Struthio camelus: one gene and its partner. The protein of the gene in region 1 purifies or fractionates together with the protein of each later gene. This does not show direct contact. Links are inferred from orthologs where the notes say so. Each region holds a gene or a part of one and is shown in the gene's direction. Other genes may lie near its edges.

Region 1 (7,865 bases):
GTGTCTGTATCTGCATAAAAGGTGAGCTGAGACACGTGGAATGAAAGCAGTAGCAGAAAAAGCTCTTTCCAGCCAGCCCTGATGCTGGCCGTGCTGCAGCACGTTCCAAGCACTGCTCTCCGAGCCCCCCGAGGCGTTTTGTCACACGCTGCGAGCGCTTTGGGTTCCCCCAGGGAAACAGGCCTTTCCCACACCAGTTGCGGCAGGCCATCCCGCTCCTGTGTTGCTCGTAGTTGCCTTTCCTGAGAGACTTGCGTAGGCTCCGACCTTGCCATAAGTCAGAACTCTTCCAGGGCCACGGGCAGTCATTAGACCGATCTGCTTCTCCACCAAATCAGCGGGGATAATACTCAGCAAGGAGCAGTGTGAGAGTTCTTTAAAGTTAATACAGTGCAGTGAAAAGTTAAGTATTGCGTGACCAAGGAGAATGCCTTCTCCTCACAAAACAACTGAGTAAGAAAATAGCTTGAATTCAGTTTTCTTCTCCCATATACCTGGGATTCACCTAGTCAGACTTCTTGGCCTGTGGCACATAGGAAAGCTTTGTTTTCAAGGCAACCATTTTTGTAATTGCTTATGTAAGTCCTTTGTGTGTTGTAACATACCTTCCTTGATGAAGATTTCTCCTTTTCCCTGCAGAGCTTAGCTGTCTGTTTGAGTAAGCTCCTGCAAATATATCTGTTGTACAGAGAATTCCTGACTGTTTATCTGTTTGATAAGACATTGGTTCGCCATTACTGCAGTTTCTAGTACTTTGAGAAGAAATCTAATGTATTGCAGCTTCTTCTACTTACCTTACTGTAAGCGTGATAGTATTTTTAGACTGCAACAATGCTTTGTTATCTTCAGGGTTCTCTTGGGATAGCTCTTTTAACTGAAGAAAGCTGAGGAGAATGCTGTAAGCATTGACTGTACAGGTTTAACAGTCTTGTGCCAGCACTCTTCAGTGGAATCCTCACCCCTTATTTCTGTGCTAGGCATTTGGCACTTTTAAGCGCTAAGTATAAATCTGAATGTGGATGAAATGTTTGGCCGTTGGCAATTTTCTCAAGCTGCAGGTATTTACAAATTCCACATGCATGACATCCAGGTACCCATTCCATTGAGCCTGCCTGCACCGCCTTAAATGGACTGCTACACAATAAATCACCCGTTCACCCTTCCCAGATGCCAGCAAAGCATTGGCTTTGTCAGTGGTTAGTTCAGACATACCTGCCCCTTGCTTTGCCTGGGGTGTTTACTTGAGCTACAACCTGGCATTCCTTAAGTGCAGGGAAGTCTCTCTGCAGCTGCTGAGGGCTTGAGGCCAACAGGATTCAGCCAGGCAACGAGGCAAAGGAGTCCTCAGAATTGCACTTTTCCTCGTTTAGCTACATTAAAATGAGCAGTGCACAAAGAACTGGTACTTAGAGCTACTGTTTCAGGCAAGTCCAGCACAGTAACAGTACGAGAAGGGAATCTTAAAATAAACCTACTTAGAACATAACACTTTTTCTTAAATAGCTTTTAGGGAGAAGCAAGTCTCTTAAACCAAAAAATTAAAAGTGCAGATGAAGCTGTAAGCAGCAGTTCTCCCAAAAGTTTAGGGGATTATGGGTTGAAAGACTGTTCCTACAGCAGTTATTTGCAGTGAATAGTCTAGAGTAGATCCCTGCTGCATGTGCTAGGATAGCAGGAATATCCAGGAGTGTATTACTGGACAGTGCCTGCTCCCTGCTAGCAGCAGCAAGCATATCCTTTGGGAGAACAGCAGTCAGGCCTCTTCAAGTTTCACATTAACAAGGCCTCATTAATTGTTTGCACATTACAACACAGAAAAGGATTTGCAAGTTAATCAAGCACTACCAAGAAGTGAGCAGTAATCTGGATAAATTTGTTTCATGCTTTGGTAAGTTTTGCTGTGCTCCTGTAGCTGCTACTTAGTTAGCATCTCTAACACGAAGCTGCTTATATTACACCCCCCTCCATTCTCTTTCTGGGCTGTTTAACAAAAACTTGCTGGCTGCAGTTTAAAAAAAAAAAACACGAGTGGAATTTTTCTCTAAGCCCCAACTGTAAAGTACCAGTATTTTGGTATCACAGCTTACACAGCTGTGCAAGGGCCAGGCCAGCAGAGATGCACAGGAAAGGAGTCATCAGGCAGTTAAAACATCATGGAGCTGTTTGTTCCCCAAGCCTGCCTTCACAGCACCTTATTTTCTGAGAGTCAACCTAGCTGTGCAACAGCAGCTCTCATCCTAAGATGCCAGTCACTGCATGGCCACACTACCCTGAAAGCTACAGGCAGTCTACTGGAAGGGAAAAAGAATCAGCAGTATACTTCTACTATTCTACTTCTATCAGAGTTGCCTTTCCTCTTTCTAGCAGGGCAGCCGCCTCGCATCTTGACAAAAAAGCTGACAACTTTTACCTTCCTTCCCGAGTGTGGGAGCAAAACCAATTAAAAAACATTTAAATAGGAAAGATCTAAATGCCACCCTTTGCAGGGCTTTAACTAAATATGCCTACTGGGAGCTAACTTCAATAAATCAGAAACATCCCAACTGTATTTGTGGTATTTCTCAGTGATACACCTGAGACTCAACACCCACTGCTACCCAGCTACCAGCTCCCTATATATACTACTTGTCTCAGAATGCCTGCATACTAACCTTGCCTTTAAGCTCCTCTTCAGACTGTTTTGGGCATTTTTTTTTACATGGGCCTTTACTGCCACCAAGTGATAGAGAATTGCTAGTACATTCAAACAAGCCTAAGGACTCAGCATTACAAGCACTTCTAGTTTTTGCTGGCTCTTGTTTACAGCTCGTTTCATTCCTGTTAATAAAATTTTTTTTAAATAAACTTTGTGGCTCCAGTGGAATTTTGATTATTCTCTCACACCTGAACTACTGAATCAAACAGTTCAGCTCATTCTTGAACATATCTAGACTAACTTCTTCCAGTATCAGTATGGGTTCAGCTGCTCCAACGAAAGCAGTCAGAATTAAATGAAAATAGACTACCGTTAAGCTGTAGTGCACATGTTAAGATGTTCTCGCTCTCTTAAATTAAGTAGGAATAGTAGAAATGCTGTGCTAGGTACGCAAATGCAAGGCTCAGAGGTAGTCTGAAGTATTACATGTCACCTATGGGATTGATGAACAAAAAGCTTAGCAAAAGAAGTTTTTTTTGACAACTTTATTAAAACTGGAAGCTGTAAAATTAGCCTTATACAGAAGCCAAAACGGAGACATAGCAGCAAATAATTGAAAGATTACAAGGCTAAACTTAATTCAAAAACGTCGAAAGAACAGTGTCTGAGCAGCTTATGTTCCCCAAACAGCTAGGATAGTACCAAGGACTCCCAGATATAAAGTATCCACACAACAGTCTAGTACTAGGGTCCACACGTATTGCAAGAAGTGCTACCTATGAATTCTTACACTTACCAACGGTTTTGCACCCACTACCTTCCATTCCTGTTGCCTTAAGCTATCGGGCTCACTGCTAAGAATTGCTTTTGACTCTTTGTGTTTTGGGCAGTCCCGCAGCTACTCCTTTGCGTTTAGAAACTGCCCTGAGCCCCAGGCTGTACAGGATCAAAGCCAGCAGCTGATACAGACACCCCAGAAGTGATCTCCTCTCACCCAGTGCACTTTTAAGCTGTACGTGGAGCTGCATCGCTTGTTCTGCTCCGGAGCTCCCAGCCTACTCTACGCATAAAATAAAAACTCTTTTAAGGCCACGAAACAGTTACTCCAGCCACAGCTTCTCACTTTCACTTGCCTTGAAATCCGCTCGGGCGTTCCCTAGGGCTCTAACTTTCCTGAGGTAACTTACAGGCGCGGGCAGTCACCCCGCCTGTGGCTCCGCACCGCTTCCCAGCGCTGCGAGCCGGAGACAGGGCGGAAACACCGCGTTTTACCAGCTAACTCCGTGAACGAGTCGCCGCCGCTACCCGAGCGCGCCGCGGGCTCAGGCAGGGCCCGGCGCCGGTCACCGCTGCCGCCTCGCCGTCCCTCGGGCCGCCGGCGGCCGGTGCCCGCCGGTCCGAGCCGGTTCCCGCCGCTCCCTGAGGAGAGAGAAGGCCGCGCGGTGAGAGCGGGCCGCGCCGCCCGGCCGACCCCGCCGCGGCTCCCTCGAGCCTCAGCCGCGGAGCGTCAGCAGGGGCCGCGGCCGCCCGCCGCCCTCAGACGAGGTGTCAGAAGGTCAGTGATCATCACCGGCTCGCCCCGCTCCCGCCCCGCCGCCACCACCCACCCCACTCACCTCGCGGTTGGAAAGACCGGGGCGTGCCTTCGCTGCGCTCTTTATACTCTCCTCCGCGTCGCCATTGGGCAGGCTGCCTGCAGGCCCAGCCAATCGCGAGCAGTTGGCGTGATCGCCAGCCCACCTCTCCCGGCGCTCATTGGTGGCTGCCTCGTCCTCGCTCCAATGGCGCCGCGCGGCGCAGCGTGGCCCGAGGTGGTGGGGGTCTTCCGCCGCCCGATTGGCCCCCTGAAGGAGGGAGAGTGAGACCAGTAGCAACAGTGCTTGTAGCACAGACTGACCGGAGACGCGCCAATCAGCGCGGCGCGGCGAGGGCTGCTGGGAAGTGTAGTCCTGACGTCACCGAGGCTCGGCAGGAGCCGGTGGAAGGCTGGAGGGCGGGACTACAAATCCCGAGGAGCGTGGGGCGTGGGGCTTCCGGCCCGGGCGGGCAGGCAGCTGAGCCGCCAGCGGAGCGGGGAGCAGGCCGGGGCCGCGATGTGCCGGGACCGGGCACCGGCGCTCCGGCCGCCGCCGCTACCAGGTGCGAGCGAGGCCGGGCCGGGGCCGAGGGGAGCCCCGGGGGGCCGAGGGGAGCCCTGAGGGCCGGGCCGGGGGTGCGGGGCGCTGGGCCGGGGGCTCTGCGGAGGCGGCGGCGGGGCCGGGGGGCGGCGGGGCCGGCGGTTGCCCCCGCTCCGGGAGTTGCCCCCGGCTGGCCGGGAGCCCCAGAACCCGCCTGGGGCAGCGGGGAGCCGCAGCCCGCTTGGCAGCAGCGCCGTGTTGTCTTCCTCCCTCTGCCCTTCCGTGTTGATGTATCTTTGAGCTCGGTGTAGCGTCGGGGGGATGCTTCCAGCGCCCGGAGGAGCTGGCGTGCTCCTCCCGCGTTGCACTCTAAATCCTGTCCGTGTCTCGCTTTTCCTCGGCTGCCTTCCCTTCACAGCCCGTGCTGTCCGATACACCTGGTCGCAGGGCACGTCTGGTTTTGTCTCTGACCGTCCTACTGCTTGTCTGACACGTAGCACGTGTTGCTCGTGCTTCTCTCTTGATCTCCGAGTAACCTCGTTTCCTTCTGCTTTGGATCCGCATCTTATGCAATATGGGACATTTGGTGGTAGATTTCTGTAGCTGCCCCGTGATGATTACACGTCTCTCTGCTCAGAGCAGGCAGTAAAACTGTGCTGTCATCCTTTCATCTCAACATCCTTTTTACTTCTGCCTTATTCTCCTGCCAGCTTGCAGCCACTGTTCCTCTTACAGACTTGCTGTCGAACGCTTTTCTCCTATTTGATGCATGATTTTGACCTCATGATCCTGTTGAGTTGTGTGAAGCCCGAAAGTGTGGACTTTCTTTCAGTTCGACTTGCTTTTGAGGTAAGGTGCTATCAAAGACAGTGGCTCAGACAGACTGTCTGCTGGGGGTGCATGAGCCTGAGAAGAAAACTTGGTACATAAGTCAGCAGAATTTGATATATATGTAGCAAGCCAGGTCCAGGTTATTGTAGCTCTTTATGGGAGGTAACTGTGTTGTGAGGAACTCTGGCATAGCAGTGTGTTTTTTCAACTTTGAAAATGTTGCCTAACACTTTGTTTCAACCCAAGTACTTTAATTTGCGTCCTTTGAATTCTTGCACAGTTTTACCCTGATGGTATGTTCTTTTCACCCTATCTTAAGTGGTTAGTGTTCCTGTTAAATAGCTGTTGCATGTTGCCTTCAAGTGTCTGCCTGTCAGTGGAGGTAGTGATTCCTGCTTAGAGCTGTAGTGACTCTTTGGTCTGTTTGTAGAGGAGAGGGCGGTATGAGCGATGGATGGTTCCAGAATGCCTTTGCTGAGCAAAAGCAGCATGAGAAAGTCAATTACTTCTGTGACAGCATCCCTTTACATGGCTCCCTGGGAGCTGTGTGAAGGGAAGAGGTGGTTCCAGGAAAATGCATTGTGGTGAAGGTAACCTTCTGTGGAGAGGTGTCAGTGCTTTTCTGGTCCTGGCCACCTGAGTGTTGCATTTGCTTAGCCTCCTTCTCATGCTCCTTGCAGTTGAAGCTCTGGGACAGGGATCTCCTACTATCTGTTTTACGTGCATCCATTTGCCACTGCTAAAATAAATCCGTATTTTCTCCTATTGCAAGGCAATAGTGCTGGAGGCACTACCAGAAATTGGAGTTGTGTTGTGTTAAGTAGCATACAGATGTCTAATAACCAATAGTCCAAAGGGCTGATCATCAGCATTGGCAAGAGAACGTACAGCGCTGTCCTCATTGCACACCTGGGGCCTGGAGAGTCAAAGAGTTCTGGGGACCTGCTAAGGGTCATGGAGAAAACTGTAGGATCCAGGAACTGGCCCGCAGTCTGCCAGGTCCCTCTCCAAATCCTGGGGTCCCCTGCACCCTGGGCACTGCTGTCTCAAGTAAGGCTGAGAAAGGCCGTGGTAAATCCAGCCAGGATGATGGAGAAAGCTCCAGCTTTGCTGTTTTGTTCAGTGGTGAGCGCTACAGCATGCAGCAAGAGATCACTTGCAGGTTAAACTGCCCTGCAGAAAGGAATGATCTCCAGTGAGGGAGGTTAAATTTTACCAAGCAGTAGTGGGCAACCTGGGTCAAATGGAGTGACCAGAGTATTCGGTTAGGGAATGCAGACAGCTTCACAGATAACACCTAAACGTGAGTTTTCGTGATGGTGTTAAGTTGACTGAACCCAACAAAAGAACCCCCAACCTCACATTTTCAGGTAGTTTGGTTTCCTGACTTGTGGGATGACGTGGCAATACCAGCAGCTTTGCCAGCATGAGGGTGGTAGCAGGAACGCGTGGTGAGATGGGCTGGGCGCACGACTGCCCTTTTCTGTGGCAGTGCAGCCTTCGATGGTCTTAAGCCACTTATGGAGCTGCCCGAGTGAGTTTGTGTCACCTGGCTGAAACCCTTCCGCTGTCAACCTTTCCCTCCCTGGGGGTCCCCAGACAGAACAGCCCAGCTAGAGCTGTAAGGAGGGCCTTGGGCTCTGGGAAGTTGTTGAGCCCAGCATGATTGTGTTTGTGTCTGCTCTACCCTGGAAGGAACTGCAGCAGAAGTGACTGTGCCTTATTTGGGATTGATCCTGAACGTTGTGCAGCTTCAGGTGACTTCAGTTTGCATTCGGTGGTTAGTCACCTCATGGGCTGAACATTTGCCTATTAAAAGGGATCTTACTAGCCCCCTCTAGCCATAACTGTGGTGCTCCTTAAAGCATGGCTGGACCTGCCTTTCAGATTGTGTCGGTTGAGCCCATCTGAGCCAGGAGAAGGGCTCCTTGAGAGAAACGCTTGAGAGAAAATCCTGCCTGGCTTTGCTATCTAAATGCTTTGATTATGTGGACAAGTTCAGTCTTTCAGAATTCTTCCCTTCCTGTTTTTGTGCTGTTCTTCTTCCCTTCCCTGGCTGTACCCCTTTACTGTGGGCAAGATCAGGCACGTACCAGCCATGTCCCCTTTCTCATAGGGTCGGGACAGGAGGATGTAGCGGCCGCCTGGGGCCGCAGAAGAGATGGGCCTGATCTTTGTTCTGACTTTGATCCCAGTGAACGTGGGGGTACATGCCACCCCTCTTTCAAGCTGAGCAATACTCCGGGAGCACAGGGTGGTGGCATCCCAACACACCTATTTAC
Region 2 (7,662 bases), on another chromosome or scaffold:
CAAGCTAAATAACTTCAGGCTGAAGATTTAAGTGTGTTTTGTAGTTGCTATTCACAGAAATGAAGCTTCTGTTCTGGAAAGCAGTAGCTTTAAAAGGATGTGGGCAACCTATGTGGAAAACCACAGAATATCAGTTTGTACCATGTTATGGTAAAATGAATAGCTTGATTCTTGTGCTCAAAATCAGCCTAACATTAAGTAGATAGTAAACGTGAAAAAGATGATTGTTCACTTTTTCTCACAGTTTAAAAAACAGAGTGCCTGCTCAACTTTCAAAGTAGAGACTGTGACTCTAAGTTCAGATCAGGAAGGGGGTCCCAGCTTGTCTAGAAAAAATATAAAGAGGGGGAGAATTGCCTATCTTGATAATTGCCTATAGCCTGCTGTGATCATGTCTGTAAGATGAGAATAGAACTACAAATCAGCAGATAAAAATTGCTGGTTTGGACATCAGGCTTGATAGGTGGGTGAAGCGATGAGATGTTAAAGACAAATAATTCTATTTTTCCAGTTCTTTAAAAGCAACAAGAAGAAAGAACTTCAGTGAAATCCAAGCTTCTAGGTGTTTGGAGACAGAAAGAACAAGTTTTACCAGGATGGCGTTCTCCTACCATCTGGCAGGAATTCCTGGCTCACTGTCATGGATTGCAACTAGCTAGTCTATTATCTTTTTGATTTAAGTAAACGAACTTTCTACACAAAGGAGAGGCAGTAGGTCTCATTTAACAGGACTTCAACTAAGAATTTTCTGTGATGACGTGTAAGAACTAGAAGACAGACAAAAATACCCAAGGGCGAGGTGGCAATAGAGTGTTTTGACCTCAGAGCAGGTACGATGGGGAATTAATACCGAATTTCTCGAGTACTGGTCCCATGGGTAATCTCATCTAAACCTTTCAGGAATGACCTTGGCACAAAAAACGAGTGCGATAATCAAATTTGATGAACAAAAGTGGTAGGCTTCATAATGCAAGAGAACTAGAATATCTTTGTCTTTTGATGACTTGGAGTGAGAAACAGAGATGAGATGAAATGTAGCAATGGAAAGTGCAAGGCAGTGAATTTAGGGGCGAGAAGAAATTGGCCAAGAATGCTAAGAGTTTATTACTTGAAAGTGACTGAGGGAAGGAAGGTGTATTTACTAGTTGATAAAGGATAGTAATGAGCTGCACTGAGGCTGTGGAAAAAAGCATGTAGAAAAGTTGGTTTAAGGGGAATAGTGATGCTGTCATACAGGGGATATGAATTCAAAGGGGAACAGGGACAAAAAAGGCTTTCAGGGAGATACCACAAATACAAAGCTGGTATTATGAAATGAGGGAGTGGTTTACTTGGCTATTAAAAATGAAGCCTGAAGGGAGATATGATTATCATCTTGATGTATTAGTGAGAAAACAGCAGGGAATGCAAAGGATTATTTAAGTTAAAGGATAATCTTGACATGAAAACAAATGGCTATAAGCTGGACATGACTAGTTCTAGATGGGAAAACTAGAAATCTTTTTCTAACGTGAGAGCAATAAGACAGGAAGCACTAAAATAAGAGAAGTCTAAACACTAACAGCATTATTAGTATTAGTAATAATTAACATTACAATCAACACTGAAAAAAGACTGGTTTTAGGATGGAAACTTTGAGGTGGGGCCTATGGAATCATCTAGTCCAACTTCCTGCTCAAAGCAAGACCAACTTCAAAGTTAAATTATTTGGCTTTGTACATACCTCTTGCTTTAGAGAGGCTGGATCTGTTGATCTAAATAAGCATTCCTTTCCAGATTTCTGTACCTATGTAGTAGGATGAGGCAAAGACCTTTTGTTATCCCAACTAGACAGAGTCAAAGTGAATGATATCATAGATGATGTTGTCTGTGGCTAAATCCTAAATTCCTCCTGGGATGTGGGATTTAGGTTCCCTCTCTTTCCCACTCTTCGGAGCAATTTTCCTTTTGCATCTATTTTCCTTCTCCTTCTGGCTTATCCAGTTGATACAACCTCTTTAATGTTGTTGCTGTGTTGCATATAAGGAAAAACATTTAGAAGACAATTCATGTGCTGCTAGAAATTTGCCAGGTTGAAAAGCAGCTGGTAAAGCCAGCTACTTGAGGTGGGTTTCCTAGCAGCAAGGTGGCCTTTGCAATGCCAGGGAAGAGGAGCTGTGCTTATTACAAACCCACCCTCTGCTGTCCATTTGCATCCTTGCTTTTTGTGTTGAAAGAAGCAGGATTGGACTTTAAAAGCAAGCAGCAGCAGATTTTTCTCTCTTTTTTTTTTTCCCCTCCCCTCTTTAAGAAGGAAGTACTTGATATGAAGTAGAAACTGTTTTTTCCCCTCCCCTGTATCTTTAAAAGGCTCCAAAAGATGCCTAGCTGTAGTTGTTACCGTAGGAACAAGCAGAGCATGGTACTTCAGCCAGACCCCCAAATTATGCTTATCTTGTTAGTGTCGTAGCATCACTGTCACTGCTCTTCAATTTTCTACATCTGTTTAGTCTGCTGAAATCGGGGCAATGCTACAGAGCTTGAAAAGCATGGAGGATTCAGAGGACCTTTAAGAAGGCTCTGCATTTTGGCAAGGATACATGCAAGTACTCCACCTCTTTCACTGCAAGCAGAGAGCAGGCTGAGAAATGACTGAACTCTGGCCCACCACTACTTATGCAGGAGACTTCTTGAAACAAGATATTTCTTAAATTGCAGAAAAGAGTCTTAAAAACCCCCACCAGCCCACAGGTGGAGAGGAAGCAGAGGCTAGGAAAGAGCAAACTGCAATGAAGGTGTCGTGTGTGATTAGCAATTGTAGAGTGTACAAAGGGACACTGCAGGCTCTCCGGCAGCTGAAGACTTTGAATCATGCCTGGATGTCATTTTAAAAGATGTGCTTTGAATTGAACACAGCTTATGGAGTTGGAGGTGGGAATTACTGGGTAAATTCAACAGGGTTACATTAGATGATTTTTAAGGTGAAGTGGGACTATTATGACCTGTGTTTTTCGAGGGGGGGGGGGGGAACACACAACCAGTTAAAACCAGTGGGCTTATGCCAGTTATTAGATGATTTTTTTTTTCTTAAGTCATTCTTGGAGTAGGAAGAAATTATTTTGGTGTATCAAAATCAAGAAGCCTGAGCAAATCAGTAAGTCTATTAAAAAGCTGCCCTTTGTAGGGAGCAGTGGAAGATAGGAAAGCTGGGGGTTTTGAGGGGGAGGAGAGTTGTGGGTCTGCTATATTGTGTTTTGGTTTTCCCCCTCCGCCCCTAAGTTGTTTATATTAATTTAGACTGTAAAGTCGCTGGAGAGCTATTTAGCAAGAATGTATTCTGCTTATGGTTTGTGTGTCCAGGACAGCCTGGCAGACAAATGCTAAAACTGCAGGAGATTGTCGTCAGGTGTCTCACATCAGTGAGCGAGTGAATGTAGCAGGTCAGCAGTTCCACTCCTAACAACACAAACACTCTCTCATTAACATCAACCCCTAATGAAAGGGGAGGAAATAATGAACTTCTAGGCTAGGGTTCAATCCTTCAAGTTGAAACCACAGAACTTCACCTTCACATCAGATAATTTTTAAGAGATATGCTGTACCATTGCAGCACTTAACATCATGCTTGTGGAGAAGCTGAAGCAGTGGTTTTGAAGGCTTTAAAAATGGAAGAACTATTTATTCTGTGACTCTTGCATCTTTCACTTGCTGCAGTGTGCAGGCAAACTGTGGGATACCTGTGATGACCTGGGGACAAAATCAAGGTTTGTTTATGGTAATTGGATCTTTTACTAGACCACCTACTAGCAGATAACATCTCTCCCTAAGAATAACCATGTCTTGTGTGATGCCCTGGGTAGTTGGTCTAATGCTGTTGTTTGTTGGGGTTGTGTAGGGTTTTGGGGGGGTTTTTTGTTTGTTTGTTTTGCTTTGAAGAGGGGAAAAAAACCACTGTCACCCTTTGCTCATTCTGGAAGTTTTGGGGCTTTTATTTTATTTTTTTTCTTGAATTAAAAAAAAGGGGGGGGGGGATGCTTTACTCTTACTTTTGTTTTTAAACTTTATTTGCTAAGCTCTACCTACAGTGAAAGCAATGCAGCAAGGGACAAGAGACGCCTGCCTTCCTCTGGGTGACTTGGATATCCCCCCAAAATAGTGGCTTAAGGTGAGGAGGTGCCCTGGATTTGGCTTTTTCCAGAGTGAAAGGCAGCTGAGGTGAGGAGGAAGGAAAAGAGGGGGGGGGGGGCCCTCTTGCAGGGTGGGTGACTGGTGCTAGCCCGGCCCCTGACAGGAGGGCGAATGGTGCAACGCTGTCGCAGCTGGCTCTAGAACCCGGCCGCGCGCCCTGCTCTAGAACCCGGCCAGCAGCCGGAGGGCGGAGCCGCCGCGCCGCCGGTCAGCCTGATTGGCAGGCGGGGGAGGGGCGTGGCCGAGGCTATCCGCCCTCCCGGCGGGCGGGAGGGGGCGGGGCCAGCCCCGTCGAGCGGGGCCCCCCCTGATTGGCAGCCGGCGCGGCGGCGGGCGGGGCGGGCGCCGCGGCTGGCGGCGCGGTCAGGTGGGTGACTCGGCGGCCGCGATTGGCGGGCAGCGGCGGGTCGGCCCCTGTGATTGGCAGGCAGGCGGCGGCGGGTGCGCGGCGGCCGCCGAGCGGTTTGTTTTGCTCGCGGCCCGGGCGCCCTGTGGCGGCGGCGGCGGCGGCTGCGGCGGGGAGCGACCGGGACCGCCCCTGCCCCCCCCCTTCCTCCCCCCCCCTCCCCGCCGCCGCGGGGGCGGCCGGAGCGGGGCCCGCCGGAAGGAGACGGCGGCGGCGCGGGCCTGGGAATGTGGCGGCGGCCGTGAGCCCTCCCCCCTCGGCCCGGCCGCCATGGAGCCGCGGCGGTGACAGCCCCGCACCTCAACGCGCCGCCGCCCCGCGGGCGCGGACCCGGGCCCGCCGCCATGGGTAAGAGCGGGGGCCGCGGCGGGAGGGGGGGACCTAGGCCCGCTCGGGTCCTCCGGGCCCGGCCGCTGCGGCGGCTTCGTTGCCGCGGGGCGGGGAAGGGGGAGGGAAATCCCTGCAGCGAGCGGCCGCGCCGATTGTGGGGTTTCTGGGGGGATTTTTTTGAGGTAAAATCGCTCGGCGGGGTCGCGGGGCTGGCGGGGGCCGGGGCCGCTCGTCCCGCGGCGCGGCGTTGCGTGCTCGACCCGGCTGTGGAAATCCTGCCCGTGGCGTCGGTTGCGCCTTGGGATTCTGTCAAAACAGCGTTTTTCCTGCCTGCAGCCTCCGCTGGCGTCGGTTGCCCCGCTCAAGGCGGGCAGTTAACGCTCGGAAACGAGCACGGCAGCCGCAGGACTCCTTTCGCAGGCCAATAAATTGCTCTCGGAGTTGCCGTAACGATTAATTTTTTTCAGATGATGTGGCCTATGTGCTTTTGGGGGGGGGGGGAGGGAAGTGTAACCTGGTTCCTTTTTTAATTTAAAGAAGGGTCTTCGTGTACTGGTTTAGGTGAATTAAATATTTACCCTAGTATTTATGCTTGTATATTGGCAACGGAATTACTGCTGTTATCTTGAGCGCAGAGTTGCGTTGCTTTGGGGGCTGCAGCTTCAATTTTTCTTTGTGTGCCCTCCCTGAGTTTAGTGTCCTGAGGCTCTACTTCATTATTTAGTCTGTATGTGTAATCCTTATATTTATAATGTAAATCCATAAAGTATCGTGAATGTTGTTGAAAGCAGAAGCGAAGCAGCTCGATTCCCTTTGTACCCTTACCATTCCAGCTACAGTAACTCCTTTAGAACAAGTGTGTAATTTGCTTGGATTTTGTGAATACAACAGATGGATCTAGATCTAAGAGTAGGCTTCTCTTATGAAGAGAAGCATAGTATTATTCAGTCTGTTATCTCCTCCAAAGGAACCATCCCCATGGTCCTTAAGCTTGCAATAGTTGAGAAGGAAGGAGTTGGATTTCCACTTGGCAGTGGCAATTGTACACCTATTTCTAAAGATGTGAGCGCAGAATGAAAAGCTCACAGACCTTTCATAGACGGTTGTGCCATCGCAAACAGGTTACTACTGACAGGAATGATCTTATCGAAATTCAGTACGCAGTCGTGATCGAATCTTATACAGAATCATGGCGAGCGCGGTATGTCCTATTATACTTCTCTTCCATCTTGTTCTTGATAAACTAATCTGAAAGATACGTGCAATGGAAAGCCGTAAGGTATTAGCGTTGCAGTTTGTCATAACTCCGTTGACGCCCCTGAACCCTTCTGACAGTGGCTCTCTGGCACTTTACAGAAGGCTTCTACACAGAGCTCCTCCGCAGCGTTTAAAACACTGCTGTTTGCCTCTGTCGCAGAGAAGTGTGTACAGATCCGGGAAAGAGAGGAGAAAGCTGTGTTTAGGCTGAAGGTTTGTGGTAGACCTAGAACGAAATGCTCATTACAGGCCCAGCTGCAGCTGAGTCTTTCCCTCGATCTGCTCTTTTTTCCTGCCTATGTCACTTCCTTCCCTTGGCTCACACGCTTACCCATAACACAGCTCTTGGGTTTTGCTGCACTGACAGCCCCGGTGCGTTGTGGGGGAAGGGAGGAGGAGGGAGCCTACAGGTTAGTTCCAGTTTAAACCCTGACCTTTTTTTTTTGTGAAATTTTTTTTTGAATTTCTGTGTGAGAAGAGGTACCCCAAATAAGTATTACATGTATCAGATTCATAGAGAAGCTCTGATTTTTCTTTTCAGTCTATTTAAAAAAGGTGATTTGCAGTTCCCTAAAAGAGGAGGAGGTAAAGACAGTTTGTTGTCGCTAAGACTCTATTACAAAGTGTACCCAGTGTTTCCATCCTTCACAACATGCCACCAAATGAAAATTAAACTTCTCCATAACTTTTTTTCAAAGCTTTAATAGGTACTCCGTTTCTCTTCTTAACTTATGAGATGTACTCGTTGGCCCTGGATCTGCTAATTATTTGTGCAAACAGTCGTCTTGCTATTGTGGTGGTAGACAACAAAGAAACCTTTTTTTTGTTCATCTCTGCCTTTTTAAACAAACATTAGTGGCATCACATCTTCTATTATCATGCTATATGAAATAACATACTGGTTTATAGGGCTTTACAGACTTCCTGTTTTTACCAATCTGCAGATGCTTTTACTCTGTTGGTTTGAACTTCATGATTTTTTTCAAAACTATTTCCATTTCTGCCATAGCAAATACACAGGTCTGAGCAAGTCAGTGTAATAAACCATGTATTTGTTGAACTAAATGCTTTATACGGAGGAATAGCTTTCTCTGAGAGTAGCAGTTCCCCTTTATCGATGTTATAAAAATCCTTGAGTGTAGTTTTTAAAACATGAAAAGCATTTCCTGGACAACATCTTTCCCGCACAAAGCAGAACTGTGTTTCCCAGACCTACTGGAGACCTAGCAAAACAGGGTCTCTCAGTGCGCTTCAAAAATTGCTTGTTTTTTCGTTTGTAATAGCTTTTGCATTGTGTGATTAATGTGATGCTGCTGCATATACTGCTTTAAGGTTAGTCTGTAGGAATCCTGTATTTTGATGGAAATAAAGAAGCATTCATGCTTCTCAAGGTTAAATCCATTACAATGCAAACCTAAACACAAACATTTTTTCCATACACAAGCTCAGGTCAGTAGTTGACTTTCATTTTACACTGAATGAGAGAAATGCCCCTTCATTTC

Evidence for each region.
Region 2: the proteins of TRAF7 (region 1) and MAP3K3 purify together in Homo sapiens (affinity purification with mass spectrometry; 5 studies listed by BioGRID and IntAct, with this or other methods). This does not show direct contact. The link is inferred for Struthio camelus from reciprocal best matches to the Homo sapiens genes TRAF7 and MAP3K3.

The regions. Positions count from the first base shown.
Region 1 is NC_090956.1:1,804,904-1,812,768, reverse strand, and holds the start of TRAF7 (E3 ubiquitin-protein ligase TRAF7), read left to right. Parts: upstream 1-4,635; 5' UTR 4,636-4,774; intron 4,775-5,462; exon of another isoform or gene 5,463-5,601; intron 5,602-7,865. UniProt on the Homo sapiens protein: E3 ubiquitin and SUMO-protein ligase that plays a role in different biological processes such as innate immunity, inflammation or apoptosis. Potentiates MAP3K3-mediated activation of JUN/AP1 and DDIT3 transcriptional regulators.
Region 2 is NC_090966.1:4,212,893-4,220,554, forward strand, and holds the start of MAP3K3 (mitogen-activated protein kinase kinase kinase 3), read left to right. Parts: upstream 1-4,655; 5' UTR 4,656-4,917; coding exon 4,918-4,921; intron 4,922-7,662. UniProt on the Homo sapiens protein: Component of a protein kinase signal transduction cascade. Mediates activation of the NF-kappa-B, AP1 and DDIT3 transcriptional regulators.